Linked DNA regions of Neodiprion lecontei. The protein of the gene in region 3 interacts with the protein of the main gene of each other region in a pairwise test. Links are inferred from orthologs where the notes say so. Each region holds a gene or a part of one and is shown on either strand. Other genes may lie near its edges. The genes, in order: tyrosine-protein kinase Src42A, protein son of sevenless and growth factor receptor-bound protein 2.

The links.
Region 1: the proteins of growth factor receptor-bound protein 2 (region 3) and tyrosine-protein kinase Src42A interact in a two-hybrid assay, tested with the Caenorhabditis elegans proteins (3 studies listed by BioGRID). The link is inferred for Neodiprion lecontei from reciprocal best matches to the Caenorhabditis elegans genes sem-5 and src-2.
Region 2: the proteins of growth factor receptor-bound protein 2 (region 3) and protein son of sevenless interact in a two-hybrid assay, tested with the Caenorhabditis elegans proteins (3 studies listed by BioGRID). The link is inferred for Neodiprion lecontei from reciprocal best matches to the Caenorhabditis elegans genes sem-5 and sos-1.

The regions. Positions count from the first base shown.
Region 1 is NC_060264.1:7,982,318-7,988,882, forward strand, and holds the start of tyrosine-protein kinase Src42A, read left to right. Parts: upstream 1-1,768; 5' UTR 1,769-2,182; exon of another isoform or gene 2,183-2,733; 5' UTR 2,734-2,916; coding exon 2,917-3,275; intron 3,276-4,938; coding exon 4,939-5,060; intron 5,061-5,794; coding exon 5,795-5,958; intron 5,959-6,565. UniProt on the Caenorhabditis elegans protein: Non-receptor tyrosine-protein kinase which may play a role in larval and pharynx development. Unlike src-1, does not play a role in embryonic development.
Region 2 is NC_060263.1:31,853,300-31,859,967, forward strand, and holds the start of protein son of sevenless, read right to left. Parts: upstream 4,158-6,668; 5' UTR 3,658-4,157; coding exon 3,550-3,657; intron 2,601-3,549; coding exon 2,337-2,600; intron 2,219-2,336; coding exon 2,135-2,218; intron 1,999-2,134; coding exon 1,918-1,998; coding exon of another isoform or gene 1,916-1,917; intron 1-1,915. Other genes in the region: uncharacterized protein LOC107223285, read right to left, coding at 6,330-6,380. UniProt on the Caenorhabditis elegans protein: Promotes the exchange of Ras-bound GDP by GTP. May regulate signaling pathways downstream of receptor tyrosine kinase, egl-15 and let-23.
Region 3 is NC_060266.1:3,272,057-3,278,466, reverse strand, and holds the start of growth factor receptor-bound protein 2, read right to left. Parts: upstream 3,887-6,410; 5' UTR 3,432-3,886; coding exon 3,354-3,431; intron 391-3,353; coding exon 293-390; intron 100-292; coding exon 1-99.

The DNA.
Region 1 (6,565 bases), on a different chromosome or scaffold from region 3:
AGCCTTGAACGTGTTCTTTTCTAATAATAAAGTAACAGCTATTGTTTACAAACAAAAGTGAAAAAAATTTGTTTTCTTCAATGTACGGATAAATAACGGTTATACAAGTAAAATATTATGTAATTCCGAAGATTATGACGGAGTAACTCAGAATACGAAGAAACGGGAGAAAATTTTTCGTGGAAAAGGGTAATCGTAATCACAACAGAAAGTTTAACTGGGAACAAGTCTTTCTGTAAAGAAAAACTATTAATTTAGCAAATTCCTCTCAAGTTCAATAATTAATTTTTTCGTGATTTTCAACATTTTTTCGATACGGAGCAAAGGAGTGATTAAGAAAGTAATTTTATAATGAATGTATAAATACAAACAAACAAAACAACGTATGTAATTAATTATTTTAAAAAAATTATGGTTTCAAGAATTGCTTTAAAAAAAGTTGATAATCTGGACTAAATAGATAAATTTTTCGGCTAGATGGGAAGTTTTATCAGAGTGAAGTTTGTGACGATATATGTTTAAGAAAAATCATTACTTCGCACCTTTAGGGATATCGGAAATTAAGTAAGCCATGATAAACAAAATATACTTTCATATTGAAAAGCCAACTCCTTATCAAAGGGGTTGTAAAATTGCGCAATAATAATTTTTTCCTGATGTTTCGTTACGTTAACGTTACTAACTTCACCCTCATGAAATTTTATAATTATCGAAGTTGACAGACATACGCTGAATTCTAATTGAAGGGAAACAAATAAATGTGGTCAACCACTGGCACTGGCATTCATCGTAACAATATAGTCGATAATTTCTCAATCTTTTAAACCTCGTGCGTATCTATGTACACGGCAAGAGGGCAGAGAGGCAGACTGCATATTTTTGATACTTGAAATAGCCGATAGGCGCGAAATTATATGGTCATAAACTATGTACGCCGTTTAATCAAAAGGTAGGATAAAATCGAAGTGAAACTTGAAAGATAATTCAAAGCTTAATCAGTTAACCCGGACAGTTCTCTTCGGGCAGTCTTGCCACATAACGCGCGTGCATGTTGAATAAGTGACAACAAGTGTTTTGATGCGTGTAAAGATCGTAGCTGGGTAAACATGTATCAAAAAATTTTCAGATCCGGTACCTTCCGATCATTGGCGAGCGTCTTTCAAAGGTGAATTATTTTTCACGTGTATGTATGTATTTTCTGTTTCGTATCAACGATCGAACGAGTGTCGTTCGGTTCTCCTTACATAAAATCAATTGATTTATCTTTCGATTGATAAGAAATCGTCTCAACGCTGTCAACAAATAATCGCCATTATCAGCGAGGGTAATTCGGATTTAGAGCATATATTCGGGTCATAATATTGTCGCAGGTGATTACAGAATTCGTAAATAAATCAAGAAATAAATCTAAATGTGCGATAATATGACGACGGTCCCGGAGAGTTTGTGGTTTGACGGCACCCTTCACGCGTATAAAGCATTCAAATACGCATTTTGACATCGTTTATATACGCGATAGATTTTTATCGTGATAATCTAGCGATGCAAGTCAGTATCAGTTCTGCCTCAATTGAATCTAAATGCTACCGGGAATCGTTGTAAAGGGATTAAGTACGAAAATGCATATCGAACAGTGGCAAGATTCGAAGGACGAGCCACAGGTCCGAGGACGTCGAGCACCGGTTGTTCGGCTTCCTTCGGACACCGTACCGAATTCTTCCGAACGAAACAATCTGGATATTCCCCTCGTCCCCCCGCCTTGGTGGGTGTTTTCACTTCGAACCGATGTATTAAAAATCGTCTAAATCAGGATAATACGATGTCCTGATCGTCACGTTATCGGGCAGAGTCTCGCCGACGTCGAAGTGTCGTTTGTGTTTGCTCCCGCCTCGGGGGCGTGTGCTCTTGGTGATTCCGCTGAACCCGCATATATAACAATATTCTGCTCGCGCATGTGAAATCGTATTTGACGGCTAGCGGACAGACGGACTGACGGACAATGGCGAACGCTGCAAGGAGGTTCCCTCGGCCAGAAAGTTGATCGTGATTTTCGGGGATTCGTTGAGGGGAACAGGGACCTGCGGTCGTCACATGTTCCCGATTTGACCCCGACGATAAATACGTTGTTCCGTTGATTGTCCGACGGCGTTTTTGGCTGGTTTACGCTTCCGTAATCCGTGTTGTAAATGTTTGAAAAACTAAATACATGTATACGTAAAGGGGTATGCGTTAGACCCAGTGCTGCTGTGTGGAAAGTGGAGTTTAATCTCTATGTCAGTTTTATCGGTAAAGTTTCAATTCGAAACACTTGGCACTTTTTACTTCGACACTTGGCAAGTCCGAGTTGCTCGTCAAACTGACAACGAATTGTGAATATCTTAATATTTTCTAGTGTGTTTGTAACGTCAACGAATCTTTGGTATCTCCCAGTTCTCGTTTCCAATAACCACAAATCGCTATTTCTTCCCTACCATTATCGCGTGTGTTAGCCACCGACTCGTTATTATTCTTGTATATAACGCAGCTCAACGGTGTTTATTTTTAATCAAAGGGACGAGCGAAGTCTTTTTCTTTCTTTCTTTTTATCACTAATCCACATCGAACCCTTGAAACGTGTAGAACCATTCACACAGACAAAAAAATCTCGCCAAAGGGACAAAGAATCTCGCCCTGTTCCCCCGGAATATTTCTTTTTTTTATCATTTATACTCTACACTTGACTGTTTACCTAAGAAATCCATCAATCTATGGACCATGCAGAGAACGATAACCCAAAAAACAGAACTTCCTATTCGCATCTGAAAAAAGTGACTGACTATATAGACGTATGAACAGTCAAATACCAAAAGACACTTGCTGAAGTGTCTCAGAGTTGAAAAATTACCTGCTTTGAGACGTTACCAAAACGCTATCAAGATGGGAAACTGTTTTAGCAGCCCGACAAATTCTGAAAAGGATAAGTCTCAGAGGAGCGGCAACACCACCAGCGACCCTATCGCGTTGCCAGCTAGCCCGGTTCCGACTCCGCCTCCGGATCCTATCAGACCGATACCGCAAATACCTGAAACCGATGCGCCGACGGCTAAAATATTCGTCGCCCTCTACGACTATGATGCAAGGACTGACGAGGACCTCAGCTTCAGAAAGGGAGAACACTTAGAAATCCTTAACGACACGCAGGGCGACTGGTGGCTCGCTAGAAGCAAGAGGACCAGACAGGAAGGATACATTCCCAGTAACTACGTTGCCAAACTGAAATCTATTGAAGCTGAACCGTAAGTTTGTACATTACTCTATTCGTTTATCTGTAACAAAAGCTTGCTTCGGTCTTTCACGAAGCCTAAGGCAGCAGTTCTACTTAGTCGGCGAACGTGTTGAATTTTTCTTACGTAGAATGGTATAGCACAGTTTTTAAATTGATCTATGCTTCTTTGAAAGTATTGAGTTTCCATGAGACTTGGTGTAAATCCACGTTTCTGGACCAGGATGTTTTCGATTCAATGACAAATTAGTGTTTCACATTTATTGCCAAATTTTTTTATTTTTTAACGTAGTTATTAGGTCCACCATCTTATATCGCAATATTCTTGACTGTTATCAAATCGGGTAAAAACCCACAGGATAAAAAATACTATTTAAATCCTAGAATTCAAAGTATTCACATCTTCATGAATAATGCGCTATTGATTATGCAAAACGATTTTCTCACTACCTCAGACATGAATTAATCAGGTTTGGTATGAAACCAAATGTAACTTAACCGATGTATTCTGAATATAAACATTACTCTACGATGATAAGAAAATAAAAATGGTGAATTTTTCATATGGAAAATTGGAAGAGTCAAGGAATTGTGTATGTGAAAATTTATATCAACTCTGAAAATCCAAGTCATGCGCTCGCAACACGACCCCTCCAACGATCGGTTTACAGTTATAGATCTGCTTGGAAAACCAATTAATCGATTACCATATGTTTAATATTTATATCGATGCCGATCGGTAACAGTGGATTGAATTGATATATTTTAATAGGGCATAGCCGTTATTTTTAATCGTGGCTCAATAACTTTTTATAACGTCGCAGGCGTGACTCTTGTTTTTTAAAATTCCTCTGCCATTAGTTTCTTTGCTCGTTATAATTATTATTATTGCATGAGATTGCTTTCACCTACTCCAAAGGTTCCTCACTACTTCATAATAACCTGATAGGTTGAGCGTCACTGTACTCTTCTAGTACGGGGGGGGCCTACACACGAGCACACGCACACAATCGCATACACACCTTGGTAGATTACTATGTAGGAATTTTCAGGAAGCAGTGTTCATATTTAAATATTAAAAGATCCCTCTACTCATGTTCTAGGAAATATTGTACATTGAATTTAACATTTTTTTTTTTTTTTTCATGAACATCGGTACAATGGCAGTTTATTATTGCAAAAATGCCAAAAGATGAAGGGGAAAAAATATGCCGATAGAATAGAGTTGCGCAAGGAAGAAGTATAATTAAAGTTCAGTTCTACCAGTTAACTATGTTTGAAGAAATTGTGTCCCCATTATTCGAAAACGTAGTTTTCCACATCAAGTAACTACCCATTAACTTTGTCATCGGAGTGAATGTTGAAACATCATAACATTCTTTTTTCTATTCGGACCCTAGGTATAACAATCATAATTTGATTCAGTTATTCAGAAGCGATAGTTTTAATGGCATGCAAAATTTATGTATGCCAAAGCATGTGGAATGTTTTCTAAACTTAGTCTTCTCATGAACTGTCTATCTTTTTCCAAATTCATCAATTTAAATTTTATTCGCTTTGATCAAAGTCGTTTGAATCATTCTTAAAGATTGAGTCGAACCTTTCGCATATGTACTTGTTTGAACTTAATTTGTATTTCGAGTCAGTGACAGTAAATTTTTCTTTTTCTTTCTCAGATGGTACTTCAGAAAAATAAAGCGAATTGAAGCCGAGAAGAAACTGTTACTGCCAGAGAATGATCATGGAGCATTCTTAATTCGAGATTCGGAAAGTCGACACAATGACTATTCCCTATCGGGTAAGTGCATTAGTTTTATTCGTCGCAACCTACCTGTCGTACAAGAAGTAATAAAGATGAGTAAAGATAGCGCAGGGTGTGCAATAATAAGTTGGGAGGAGAGAAAATACAGATAACTGGTTCACTCCTTCAGCTTTCACCCGCTTGATAATAACAATGTGTCGTCATTTGGTAGATAACATGTTCTAAAGCCAGTTGATTAAATACATTAATCTTGAAATTGATCTGTAGAGTACACGGTACGTCTGCTTGATTTGTTGGGTGAAAATGACACGAATCTTAATAAAATAAACACACCGATATTTAATACTTATTTAAAAACATTCAATTTTCTTTGGTCAAAAGTAAAGCTTCAAAATAAGGTTTACTTGGGGTAAATGATCCTGAAACAATCCATCAGATAGTAGACTCGGTGCCGTTGTATCACTTGATGATTAAATTGGTATATCCTGTCAGCCAGATTGCAATTTCCTGTTTTTTCATGTCTTTATCTCTTAGTGGTTTTCACTACTTTTCATCCGCGTGAAGTGAGTCGCAACTCACTTACTATATGCTTTAACATCATTTGCAATTTTTATAAAAATTTGTCAATTCTTCATTTCATTTTCTTCAGTAAGCAGACAATTGTTTTCAAATAATTATTTCATCGATCAGATAGATTTAAATAATTAAAATAAAAAATAAATAAATAACTATGTACAAATTTCTAATTACACTGATTTTTTTCATTATAGTGCGAGATGGGGACACAGTAAAACATTACCGTATCAGGCAACTGGATGAAGGTGGTTTCTTCATAGCCAGGCGTACAACTTTCAGAACACTACAGGAACTCGTTGAACATTACAGCAAAGACGCAGATGGTCTCTGTGTCAATCTTTGTAAACCGTGTGTGCAGGTAACAGAAAGTCATACGTTAAAATTAACGGTCCAAAATTTGTCTACACAGAGTTTAGACAGCTTGCTGCATGTGAGAGATTTCTTTGAGAATGTCATATCGTTAATTAATACTATATCTCTATATATTTATAATGAAATGCAACTCGTCGAGGCTTTTAGATATATATATATATACATCGTTGTCGTTTGTAAAACAACATTTATACCAATCTTTGAAGGGGATGTTTTAATCAGTACTTTTAGGCACCTCCCTCTGACACACCTGCGATAAGTCGAATGACTAAAATTCTTTTTTTGTCTAGCGTTTCAGACCCTGTTATGCACTAATATTTCAATTACTTTACGGTCCAATTTCTGCTTGATAACAGTGATTTCAGCAGGGAATACCATTGCGTGTGAATAAGTCATCAACTGAATACACTGTAATTTAGATAACTTGAATGTTGCTATTTTTTTTTCGTTCCTTTTTTTATAACCTAACGTTGAATGCAGAAAACAGCACTGTCTAAACTTCTGTTGGACTTTGCTATCCTAATAAGTTAGATTATAAATCTTATTTACGATTATTAAGCTTGATCCTGGAAAAGACAAGAAAAATTATTACA
Region 2 (6,668 bases), on a different chromosome or scaffold from region 3:
TAGGCTGAGGTGTCCAATAACGGAAAACTGACTGCTTAAAGAAGTGGCAAAGACTCTACCAAGACTCTGTCTAGAATAAATATTATAAGAACATTTACTTGCGGTCGATGGTTTTTGAAATGAACCCACGCAAGATTGAATAAAGGCTCAACAACATATAGACAGGTAAAAGATTTAAATTTAAATTGATTTCTCAGTCTAAGTGACAAATATGAAAAAGAAACAAAATAATAGGCACAAAACATTCATTAGCTAATTTATAAGAATATATACCAGCCATGGGTAAAAAAAATTTTTTAAAATAAAAGTTGTACACCTCAAATCTATTACAGATACAATATAATAGTAATCCAGAAATATCAATGTTGAGCATTAGCATAAACCTTGAACGTAGTCCATTCCAAGTGTGCCAATTTTCATGCTTGGTATTCCAGAAATGGTTACTCGCGCATGCTAGTTTAATGATGAACTCGAGACAAAGAATTTCAAGTAGAGTTGATCGTAGATTTTTCTAATTAGTATACAAGTATCAAACAGCAACAACGTGAGCTAATTAATGTCGTAGCATGTGATAATTCACTAATGAATAGATACGATAAGCCCGCTTGAGTTGTGGGCTGTGTTGTAGGGAAGAAATTTACTTTCATTACCTATTTTGACACAAATGGAGTACCATGTTAATTATTTTGAAAAACAGTAAGCCTGCCAAATTTTTTTTTTTCAGTAATTTACAGTATCATAAAAAGTTAGTTATTTAGCTCCGTTGTTCACAAAATTTCACAAACGATTAGAGGATCATGAAAATGTAATAATTACTGAATGTGTTCAAATAACTTTCTACAGGGGCGTCGCAGGTACGTACCACCTATAACAGCGTGAGTAGAGGGCGAACATTGTTGGTGTTGTTTTTAGTTGGTGGAAAGCATGTAACCAAGCAGAGAACATTTGCAGCCACAATTACCACTTAGCCTGTGTCTAATCTAGCATAGCCAGTCAGTGGTTTTTGGATTACAACAACGGTTATTACTAACTTCTAAGATTTGTTTGCAATTTATAGCCCCCTTTGACGAGTCAACATATGTTCTGTATTATGTATACTAAATTGCAATGTGAATTTCATAAGGGAGGGGGAAAAGAAAACCAAGAGAACAAAACACGACAAATAACCACATCTCCAGAAAAATACTTTTAACGAATGTCATATGTGATTCCTGATAACTTCATTTCTGTAAAATCCGTACTTTTTCAAAGTCAATACACATGTACAGATAGCAAATTGAATTTTTGACATACGAAACATTTTTAAATAACCGTACGAATACTTAATAGCGATAAGCTGATGCAAATGAATTACATTTATTTCAGAACCCGTCTATCTCGTAACACTAATTGTTCTCAATCCAACTTATTACCTAGATAAAGCTTATAACTATAAGCTATGTTACATTGGATGAAAAAATGATAAGTAGGCCCAAAGTTCCACAAAATCTTCTGACACTAAGGTGACGTAGAAACGTATAATTAAACAATTCATAGAAATTATTTCGATTTTTGGGGTTGCAATAATTTTATTGTAGCTGTTCCATGTACAACGATAAACTTAATCTTGAATAAATTAGTATTTATTAAACGAAAAGAAAGAATTTCAGTAAATATGTTTGGAATTTTCAGAAAATTTTTCCGATTACTGACATGGAAATAACTTGTTTAAATTTGTTCCACTAGTCTACTTACTTGAAAAAAGTAAATAAAAATGATCCCTCATATATTTAGGACGGACTTTCCAATTCAATTTTACTAATTTAATTTACTAATTAATATTTGATGTACAACAGGAATGTAGTGAATGTTGAGCCAAAGGACACAGACAAATTAAATATAGTGTAAATGGCAAAATTTCAGTAAGTCATATGTTACCTTGTCAGCGTACATCGCCACCCTGATGTCTTGACAGGAAATTTCAACATGGCGTATATTCTTAACATAGTTTCCAGCCAACTGAACAAAAACATTGTTGTTCATTAATTGAAACAGTTTAAACCTAAATACTAAAATATCTGCGAGGCGATTACGGCAATAAGGTTTTCTGTACTACGACTCTTAGTAGGACAATGTAGTGTTCAAAATTACAAACCTTCAGAATATCAGCCGAGATGTACTCCAGTACGGCTACAACGAACAAACTGACTTGCGAGTCAATTTTGTGCTGCAATACTTCCTACAATTAAAAATAAGAATTCAGAGCGTATATTTAAATAGTTCAATCGCCTGAGGACAAGGTTACGTTTGAAAATGTAGATTCAAGTAAGAACCTAAATCTAATCTGTACTACAAACCTTTTGTAGCAGCTGATGTATTTTATCCACAGGTAATACAAGAGGCGATTTTTTCTTTCCCTTTTCTAATGCTTCCTTGGCGTCGCTTAAAGCCCACCTATCAATTGGCGTTGGAAAAGTGCGCCTAACACGTTCTTCAACATCTTGAGGAGTGTGTGGTGGAGGTCGGCCACACAACATTCCTAGCATTCGAAGGATCAAACTTTCCACATAATCAAGTGCGTCTTGCCTCGCTTCCAAACTCGGGTGAACCTGTTCCAATACCTGCAATAAAAGAGATCAATAAGCGAAGTCAAACGTAGCAGTGAACACGAATGATTGGTTGCCACACTGGTCTTAGGAATTCTGGCTAATTTAAAGATTAATCAGATTTTGCTAAAGAAAGCTGTATGTTTCTGTGACAACGAAAGGGCAGATTGTGTTTTTTACTGAGGTTAAAATTAATACCATTAATGTAACAAAATATTGTTGCAAAAACCATGAGTTTGCCATTTTGTTCATGATTCAGAAGCAATTAAGTTATGAAACAGTGTGTCTGTGTTGCTTCGTAATGATTTACCCAAGTTCAGTCAATTCTGATATTGTAAGATTGATTTTTCTTTAGAAAAAAAATACATAGTTACATTAACATTACGAATTTCAACTCCATTTCTTCGAAGATATCACTTTTATAAATTACTACAAATAACTTTTCAATAACTCTAAAATCATCATCCTTGTCAATAAAACGACACTAATGAATAAATAATGGTGGAAAATTTGCGCTTTATTTTTTACCAAACGTTAGCGATGCATATATTTTAATTTAATTATTTGTAGATTTTCATTGTACATTTTATGGTATAAATCGAATCCATATAAATGAAGTTCTGTAAGCTGAAGATTTGACGATAAAATGGAAATGAGAATATTTCGATTTGTTGTTCTACAATTGAATAAGTTACTTTACAAACGATTACCCGAAAGGTGATACAAAGTTGATAGAATACACCAGCTGATTGAAAAGAGTAAATGCGGGGTGTCACCTGACTTTGACAAGGCTGTACGTGTGCATACGAGCGAACTGGTGTGTAGTAACATCGCCAGAGAAGTCTGAAGGTAGTAATAATTGAGGAAAGAGAGCCGTGAAGGAGGCTCGGAAATTGTGGAAAGTGCGCGTGGCGATCGTTTAGGGAAAAGACGGATCGTGAATGAGGATCCGAAGAAAACAAACCTTGCGTAGGGAGTTGACAAACACCCCCTTCCACTTGGCGGCGTTCTCTTCTTTCTCAAAGTCGTAGCCCGACGACTCGCCCACCACAGACGCCGGCGTTGAAAACATCTCACTTGATTAACTGGCGGATTTGATTCAAGTTGAACAAATTTCACATTCGATATACATTATTTTCTCTCACAAATAGACTGAGTCTCTCTCTAGTTCGCGAGACACGTTTTTAGAAAAATCACAAAAACTTGACAGAGACGTTCGTCTATCCGTCCGTCGTTCGGGGCGCAGACATCTCTTCTTGTCTTTCTCACTCTTTCTTCCTCTCTCTCTCTCTCTCTCTCTTTTTCTCGCTCGCGCTCTCTCGCTTTCTCTTTCTCTCTCTTTCTCTCCCTCTCGTTCTCGCTGCAAAGATGCGACAGCTAAACCTTTTCACCCATTTTTCGTCCACTTCTCCGTTTTCCCGCACTGTTTAACCTCGATATCACTTTTCGCCGATCCCCTAGCTCCTTGTATTCCCTGTCTTTGCACATTTTTCACCTCCTTTCAACTATTTCTTATCAAAACGTCGTTCAGAGAGACCCACCAGTATCGAGAACTGCCATTGCGCGAGCTCGCTCTCCGCGTTGCGATCGATATTGCGATACTCGTCGACTCGTCTCACTAACGCGATATATATCGAACAACGTCCATACCCCGCGAAACATATCTTTACTCAATCTTGCTGGAATTTTTGTCGATGACTGTATTCGCGCCTCCCGGATAATACGTACTCGTACCGATACTATTACCCATTACCACGCGGGGAACTCATAGTTGGACATTACTGTACATAAATACGTATATTAGCATATTTTAAACGTCGTTTATGCGCTAGGCGTTCCTATTTGATTCTTTCTTCAACCGAAATATGCCGTGTTATTTTGTGTAGATTTTTTTTAATTAAATGTAATTTATTCCAATAATATTATAAAACATTGCGGTGAATTAATTTCAAGAGCAATTTTATTTTAATTTGTATATGCACCTCTGACATAAGTATTAACTTGTCTAACTTTCGTATTCACGTCTAGTGCGTGGTAAAACCCACGAAGTAGTTAGTATTACCTCGTGGTAAGACCGTAGGTAAAAGGAATTGAGCAGCCTACCATGCACATCGATATGTATGTCCGGTGGCCTATAACCAGGCATGGGAACATCGTGACGCACATCATTGACATTGATCATTATTTACTGTACAGTTACGTAAATAATATTTTCATCAATTATATTATGCATTACTGAGAATCAGTTTATCCATTAAACGAATTTCAAGGTTGTCACAGCAGTTCGCATGAATCATATAAAACAGTAAATACTAATTACTTTTTGGTGTCTTTTCACAATTATCGTTTGAGACGAAATTAAAAAAAAAAAACTACAGTATTATAATTTGCATACACGATGCATACAGTCCAAAGTCTGTTAGGTAATAGATCTTATAGTACAGGAATTTTTTTGCATAAAATCCAATTAATAGTTACGAGTAGGAAAAGCGACCAAACTGCATTCGTTTTCGGTACCCGAAGCAACGGTTTCGTTAAAATTAAATGTTTTTAATTTCGGTTTTAATTTTCACAAACTGTAACAGCATGTTTGGGAGGTACAGACGAAGAGCTTGATAAATGTATTATGTGGATTAATTTTATTGCGTACGCACTCACGTACAGTAGCAGGTTGTCTATGGACATGAAATTAATATATTTTCACATTCCGGCGAATGCGGTAGACAACAACACGTGCATAATTTGAATAAATAAAATGACAAAGCAGCCGTTAACAATAACATCTTAAATATATCACATGTAATTGAGATACAATGGTGAAATGATAATAAATAAATCTCTCTTTACGGAACGTTAAATACATAATTTGATCTTTGCTGTCAGTTTAGAAGTGATAAAATCTCATGGTTTTACCGAAACGTTCTATTCAAATATGTAGCACATATGGACTTACGTAAATTCTTAAAATACTACAGCTTATAAATCACTCTAACAGTAATCACTAAAATTAGATACTGTCTTGAATGTATGTTATTTCGAAGCAAAGACTGTTGCAATTTACTGAAGTACTAAATATCGTAGAAATAATTGAACAAATGGATTTTCAATAGTTTCATCATTATTTTTTAATAATTGAGCTGCAAAATTTTATCTTATATATATCATACGTATATACGATTTAATTCGGCATGTAGACGTATCATTCATTTGAGCATGAATTTTTCAATTAAATAAACGGAATAGAAAACGGTAGAAAATTAGAAGTAAGAATATATTATATTTATAATATATGTATACTTAACGTCAATAAATTAGGTAAATTGAATAAATAAAAAAATTTAGCATACATATTAAATATAAATTAAATAAATTACTAAAATTTATGACATGTACGAAATACTTTCGGAAAATACCATCAGTTACACACACCGTACACTACATCTATTCGCCGGTGCAGACCATATTACGCTCGGAATCTTTGATATAAATTCTTTTTTTTTTTTTAATATATAGAGAATGGAATATCAAATTTTCGTAGCGCAGTTCTTGTTACGATTAACGCACGAGACGTATAGTCGAATCGTTTGATTCATCTTAAAAAAAAGGAAGAAAAAAAAATTTAGACTAAAGCATAAAAATTAAACTAAAAATCAGACGGCAGAGTTTTTCCGCTAATACTGTAGAGGGACGAGGGCTGAGAACCTCTCGGTTGACTTCTTAAAACATCTCCGTAAGTTTTTCAAATTATACTAATTGTTCCTCCGTCTCCTCCCCTTGTCGATGTTGATGGTTGTTCTGGAACCAAAAAAAGGCGAAACATGAGTTGACATGAATATGCCAAGATGAATAAATGCTAACACGGTTCACATGCTACAAATTGCGTAAATCACGAGTGTAGTTTATTAGAATTCTAAATTATTGCTACAACTCTAATTAATTAATAGGTCAGTCAACGGGATGATAAGTCTCGCTGATGGAAATTCCCTAACGACTGAATGCACCGACATTCGCTATGAGCGTGTGTGATAAAGTAGACGAAATAGTTGAATCAAACTTTATATTATAACGCGTACTCGTAATTAA
Region 3 (6,410 bases):
CCGGGAGAACTCTCGCTGATTCTGATAAGAAACGCACCTTCGCGTTTGTTCATCAAAAGCCTTTCCGCATCTGCTCTTGTTATTCTCCCGTAATACCAGCTGCGTACAGGGAACAAAAATAGAAAAGTCAAGTTCTGGTTCTCTCTTTTTTTTCCCTTGTTTCAAACATATCCTTAATTTGTTATCTTAGGCACTTTCAAGTCAGCATCGCCTTTTTCATATAGCTTTGGCTTTGGCTTGGGTCAACAATGGAATGAAACTCATTAAGAAAGAAATACGCCGTCAAACTTACTCGTGATTCTTCATCTCAATGTAATTGCTCGGTATCAAGCCTTCCCTAGAGTCCAATTCTGCTCTGTACCAATTCATGTCGTCTTCCATGTTTAAAATCTAATAAATAGAGAAAGTTAAATCAGTTATTTATAAAATCAAAGGAACAGTGTATTTTGTGCGTTGTTCTTTTGAGATGATGAAAATAAAGAGATTGGAAAATTGAATATGTATGTAAAGGTAAATCCCCAGCTATAAAAAATGACCGATTTTTTTTTCAATTTTCCGTCATTGCTGCTCTTGTCTTCCTATTGATAACGGAGCCAGCTGCATGCTGGTCAGTGTGGTAATAATACATGCTGCGCAAGTATACATGTATGAATAATCGCAGCTTCCACCACCAAAGTAGCAGCAGCAAACCGAACCAAGGTCGTAAGATTAATGAGTTTCGTTTGCAGGAAAGGAGGAGCGAAACTGATATCAACATAACGATAAGCAGGTGGTATTTAAATACCCTATTGATTAGGACAAAAGATAAAAGAAAAAAGGAACGCCAGAGCATACGGGTATTTAAAATGATATTTTCGTGTAGTAATGTATGCAGCGGTTGTTAAAGGAGGAAACTTATCTTAGACGATAATAGATGCCAAAGTTTCAGACAAAAATATCTGTTTGTATACTAATTATTGTTATTCGTCTTCTTCATTTTTTTTTCCTCCTCTGTAATGTGACAATAATTTGTGAATGATCTTGAATTCTTTAGTATGAAATGTCATTTCTAGAATATAACTTATCAATTGCGAAAATTAATTATTAACAATAAATTCTATGGATCGATTTAACGGGATAACAAACAGGGATGTCTGACCTTTCATTAGGAATAGGAAAAGGAATGAACTTTAAAATTTTGAAAATCGGATATCCGCGAAAAAAAAGTTTCTATCTCCAGTTTTCCTTTCAATCTTTATTTTAATTTCATAACGAAATACAATTTAATTTCTCAACATGGACAAGAAATTTTGCGTCATTGTACGACTTGAAATGTACTATTTTTAGGACGTATAGAATGCATGTTACTACACTGCACATACATTTCTAGTCATTCCCTTAGAGTTGCTAAATTTCTCCACAAAAATGGCGCCACTTGCAGCCACTTATAGAATTTTTTATAAATGTGTTGACATTTTCCAACCGATTTACTTTCGTAAATCCGTTACAATATCAACGCCCGTTACATAACTTTCGATGCGTTGCTTTTTTCACAAGTTTGATCGTTTCATCGAAAATTTGCGGATGGGATCGTGGTTCGTTGGTTGGTCGCTGTTCCTAAAAAAACGCGAAATCATCTAGACGAGGAAGAACCGCAGAGGCTCTGTTTTCCTTCATACCTACGTGGGTATCTATCCACGTTTCTCGCATGGTTTCATGAAAATTTATAAATAGGTATAAGAGCGAAGATCGAGTATAGTTTTGCCCAAGCAGAAAATAGCTATGGCATAACTTGGACACGATATTCAGCTCGTGTCAGAGTCAGTCTCAGAAGTCTCAAGACTCAGTTCCCTGCATACGTGCTTATGTACAATATTCTCGATTTCTGGTTTCGTCATAGACTCTTACGACAATGTAGTTACGCGTAGGAGAAACACGATACTCCGAAAACAATGACAAACTTCCACAAATAATATTCATTCCGATGTCGAAATAATATACAATAATCATCAAATGTATACAAAGTAAGAACGATTAACGTATGCGCAACAAAACGTCGTCGTTTCGTTTCTTTCATAGAAATTCTTTATGTTAAATGTACAAATATATTTCACTTGACGCTTCGCTGTCATAAAATATTCAGCAGCTTTTTTTTTTTTTTTATTATTTTGGTACTAACGATCTTTTAAACGATCGAGAAGCATAGATAGCGCGATCACCGAAGAAAGGAAACTTATGCCAATAAAATATTGGCGAGTTTCCTTTCTCTGCTTCTTCTCCTTCTTTTTTTTTTTTTTTTTGTTAATAAAATAAAATTCGAAAGACTCAGATGGATATACCTATAAGCAAGATTCCAAGAAAGTTTTCATGATTGGCTAAATGAATTCAGAAAGGCGATTGGTATCGAATTTTCTCGATTCATGAACCTGCAACCAAAGCGCAAATCAGGGATGAAAGAATTGATATTACACAAAATTGATGAACGCAATGAAAAATTAAGGGTGTAGGCGATGATAAAAAAAAACTAGCCAACTTATTAACAAGGAATAAAAATTCTTTTGCCATACGTAGAGACAATTGTATTACGAAATGTCATATTGTTAGATTGCAAAATCCCGAAACGCGATAAAATCCTCCTCCACCATCCGTAGTGCGGATCAGTGAGATCGAAGAGCGAACACACAGGTGCATGCATACACACATACGTATGTGTATTTCTATATTTGGTGATTGGGAGAATGGCGCTGATGATATGAAAGAATTCGTTACTGCTTTTTGCGGGTGTATGCGCGTGTGCGTGTCCCGTTTTGCTTGTCCCGTGTTGATATCGTTCTTCCTCCTTTCCTTTAGTTTTATCAAATAGACGATGACAGGGCGATGGGTGAAATAGAATAAAAAAAAAAAAAAAAAACGTAGGGAAAAAGCGTGGAACACATTGTAACGTTGTTGAGTCGAACAGGCGATCGTTCGTCATTTGTTTCTATTTTATTTATTTTAATTTTTTTCTTCATTTCTTCTCTTCTCTTCTCTTCCCTCCATACAATCACCGCTGCTATTCTTTTCACCTCGGTTATCTAGGAAACATGTTCCGCATATGCGCGCTGTCCCCCGTTTACATACATCACACGTATGGTATAAGTATAGATAAGATAAGAAGCGTGTTATTTGCGCTTAATTTACAGCGCGAGGCGTAAGAAATGGGATAAATATTGCCATGGCACGATCAGGGATTATACAGGATCCGTCTAGGACGACACATGTGGGTATGCATAAGTAAATAGACACATTGTGTGAAGAGGAATGGATAAACGACGAGATGACGAGAGCGGTGGTGGGCGGGGAAGGGCGGCGAGGAGAGGGTGAGCCGTACCAACCTTCAATACTTGACTCCTACGAAAGCTGAGCTCGTCATCGGCCGTCGCATTGAAATCGTGTTTCGCTATCGCCTCCATGGTGATGATTCACTCTCTTTATCCGAATCTATTTATCCAAGTTGAATCCTGGCAAATCCGTTATATTTGTTATATTTCGCCGAAGAATTTATGCGTGCGATATCAATCGTTCTCCTGCTCCTCCTCCTCGTCCTCGTCCTCCTCCACGTCCTCGTCGTCGTCGTCTTCGTCGTCGTCACGGGTTCTCGGTTAGGTAGGTAATAAACGAACGTCTCTCCCTTGGCACGAACCAGCCTTGAACAACGTCCACCTCGACACAAAGTTCAAACGACCCAATTGAAGAGTAGTTTTTCCTCTTCTTTCCTTTCGTATGTCACACGCAGTGTGACTGGGTATAATAAGCCTATGGGTACCACGTATCGCCGTATGTAATGAGGAAAAAAAAATCACAGCTGCGGATCTACTCCGTGGATGGTGATCGGCCGTTCGTTCGCCTCTCGACGCCCGTCGGTCGCCTTTCGATATATATATATATATATTATCTTTTTTTTTCTTTCACCTCTGATATAGCCTGTTGAGAGAAGAACAACTTAAACTGCACAGTATACAACATACACCACCAGTTGATAATAATCGGACACGTAGATTTTGTGACAGTAACGAAAAACCGCAGCTGGGTTCTTTATTTTGCTTGTTGTTTTTTTATTTTTGATTTTTTATTATTTTTCTTTTCCTTCTCTCGTTCCTTCTCTTTGTACCTCTAAACTTGTTGTGTTGGTGTTGTTAAACTCTTGTTCCTTTTCTTTATCGTTCCTCTTTTGTTTTCGAAACGTTTTACTTATGCACCGAGACGCGTATCTATGTCACGTTCGCGTTTGTATGGTTTAAACAACACACTGTGAACGATATCTGTTTCCTCTCGATCGAAACACGAGTGCCAGGAGCCAGTAGTAGTATTAGTAGCGGTAGCGAAACGCGATACTAGCAGAAACGGAACCCGTAATCTTTCATTATAATTTCGGTCGGTTGTCTTCTTGCGGCAAGAAAATTAGATAATAATGTTCGCCGCGTTAATTGCTCCTTATTAATCGGAACGAACTTTTATTGGTAAACCGTTAAAACTGTCATCAGTTCACGACGACCACCGCAATTGCATACTTCGAGGAATTATAACCCATTGCTTTAAGCTTACGCTTATCAGCCGCCGTCGGTCGCCACTGACCGCTGCTGCACCTCCTGCCTTCTCCTGGGGATCCCGGTTAGCGACGGTGCTGCCACCGCGTCGTTTCACGTCGGTACTAAAACAGCCCGACGATATTTTGGGGCCTGGTAATTTTCACCCGATAGTTTATCCCACCTATCGCTTATCAAGTCGTATTCCCATTGACTACCCCAGACGTTTTGCAGGGTTATTGTAATTGCGGAAAATCCGTTCGAGTACATTTCTACGCGGCAACATGAACGCCATTTTTTTTTCTCATTTTACCTCTGGGACTACTTCGCGACCGCGGAATACGCGACATGCGCAGTCGGCAACAACTCGGTTGTACAGCTCGAGGAAAAGCCTGTCGACTGCTGTCGTCATTCGGCAGAGCCAGGCACGTTTCTTTTCATGAAACACGAACAACCGCCTATCCTCTGCGTCGATGCATGTATGTATGTACATACAAACAAATAAACGCGCATGCGTATAGGTTTAGCGAGTGGAAGTTTACATTCGTAGAAATGATGGATGAACTGTAATAAAATACGGTGTTAAAAATTAATAGAGAAATATTTGTTCATTTACAATGAATTTTGAACCATAAGATCGATTTGAAATTCGCAACTGTATATTAGTATCGTTGATGCACAGGTAGGTATAGATAGGTGTAATTAGCATATAGGTGTATACGTACACCTTGTTCGAGCTGATTATTCCGGCCAGAGACAATGACGAAAATTTACGCGTTACAACATGTATACACATACGTATATCTATACATGTACGCATATTATGAATTATTCAGTATCCGGATAATAAATTATCGGTTAAACTGTTGACCTGTCGTATTTATTCTTCCTTGCGATATCCTCCATGGCCACGGTGTGAAACCTGCGTGCATATCTCTGGTAACGGTAATTTCCCAAATAAGAGAAAAAGATAAATTTTTGTGCGTGAATCATATGTGGCGGTCACTGATCCATTCCGCCGGAAGGTCGAAAGCATCGGACGTCGCCTGTCTGCCGGCGTAGAACGAAACTCATCGACGAAATTGAACATACCATAATAAGGGACTAATAGGAGTTTGAAAATCGAGTGTGATTGATAGGTCGTACCCAGCTAAAATAACCGATTCGTACCATTTTGCTTTGAATCGGGATCGTTTCGAGAATTAAAGAAGGACTCATTCTGATAAATGTATTATATTTGTATTGTGTTACGTTGTATTATTACTGCGCAGCTTTATTAACCAATGTATCCGGGAAACGCTACCCACATACGATGCTGCATACGATAGAGAGATGAAAGAGTTTTCACATACTGCCCAACGCATGTCCAACGACTGTACGATGATGAAAAGAGTGAGACAGAATGAGAACTGTGTTTATTTCAAGTGGGATATATAGCTATATATGGTGGACGATGATGGTTGGGTTCAGTTCCTCTACTTGAACTCGGCTAAGTCTATCATTGTCAAGCAACATCGTCCACTGCGCATGCTTGTACATCCCTTAAGGATCCACCAAAGAGGAACGAAAAATAGAAGAAAGAAGCACGACGGCCCTACAGTTCGCACGTAGTTTCTGCCCTTTTCGATGCAGGTCGCTCTCCGGTTATGTATACCTGCGTACAGGTATAATACATGCATGCATGCACGTCTCTTCGAAAAGAAGATGAAAGGTACTTAAATGCGATCCCCGGACAAACGGGCGGCCCCTGCCACGAGAAGAGCGGGATAGGGAAGGGCTGCAAGGAGAGAGAAGAAGACGGGACGAGTCTGAGAAAAACCGCGGGCTTGAGCACGGGAGATGAAGAGATAGAGAGACGCTCGACGA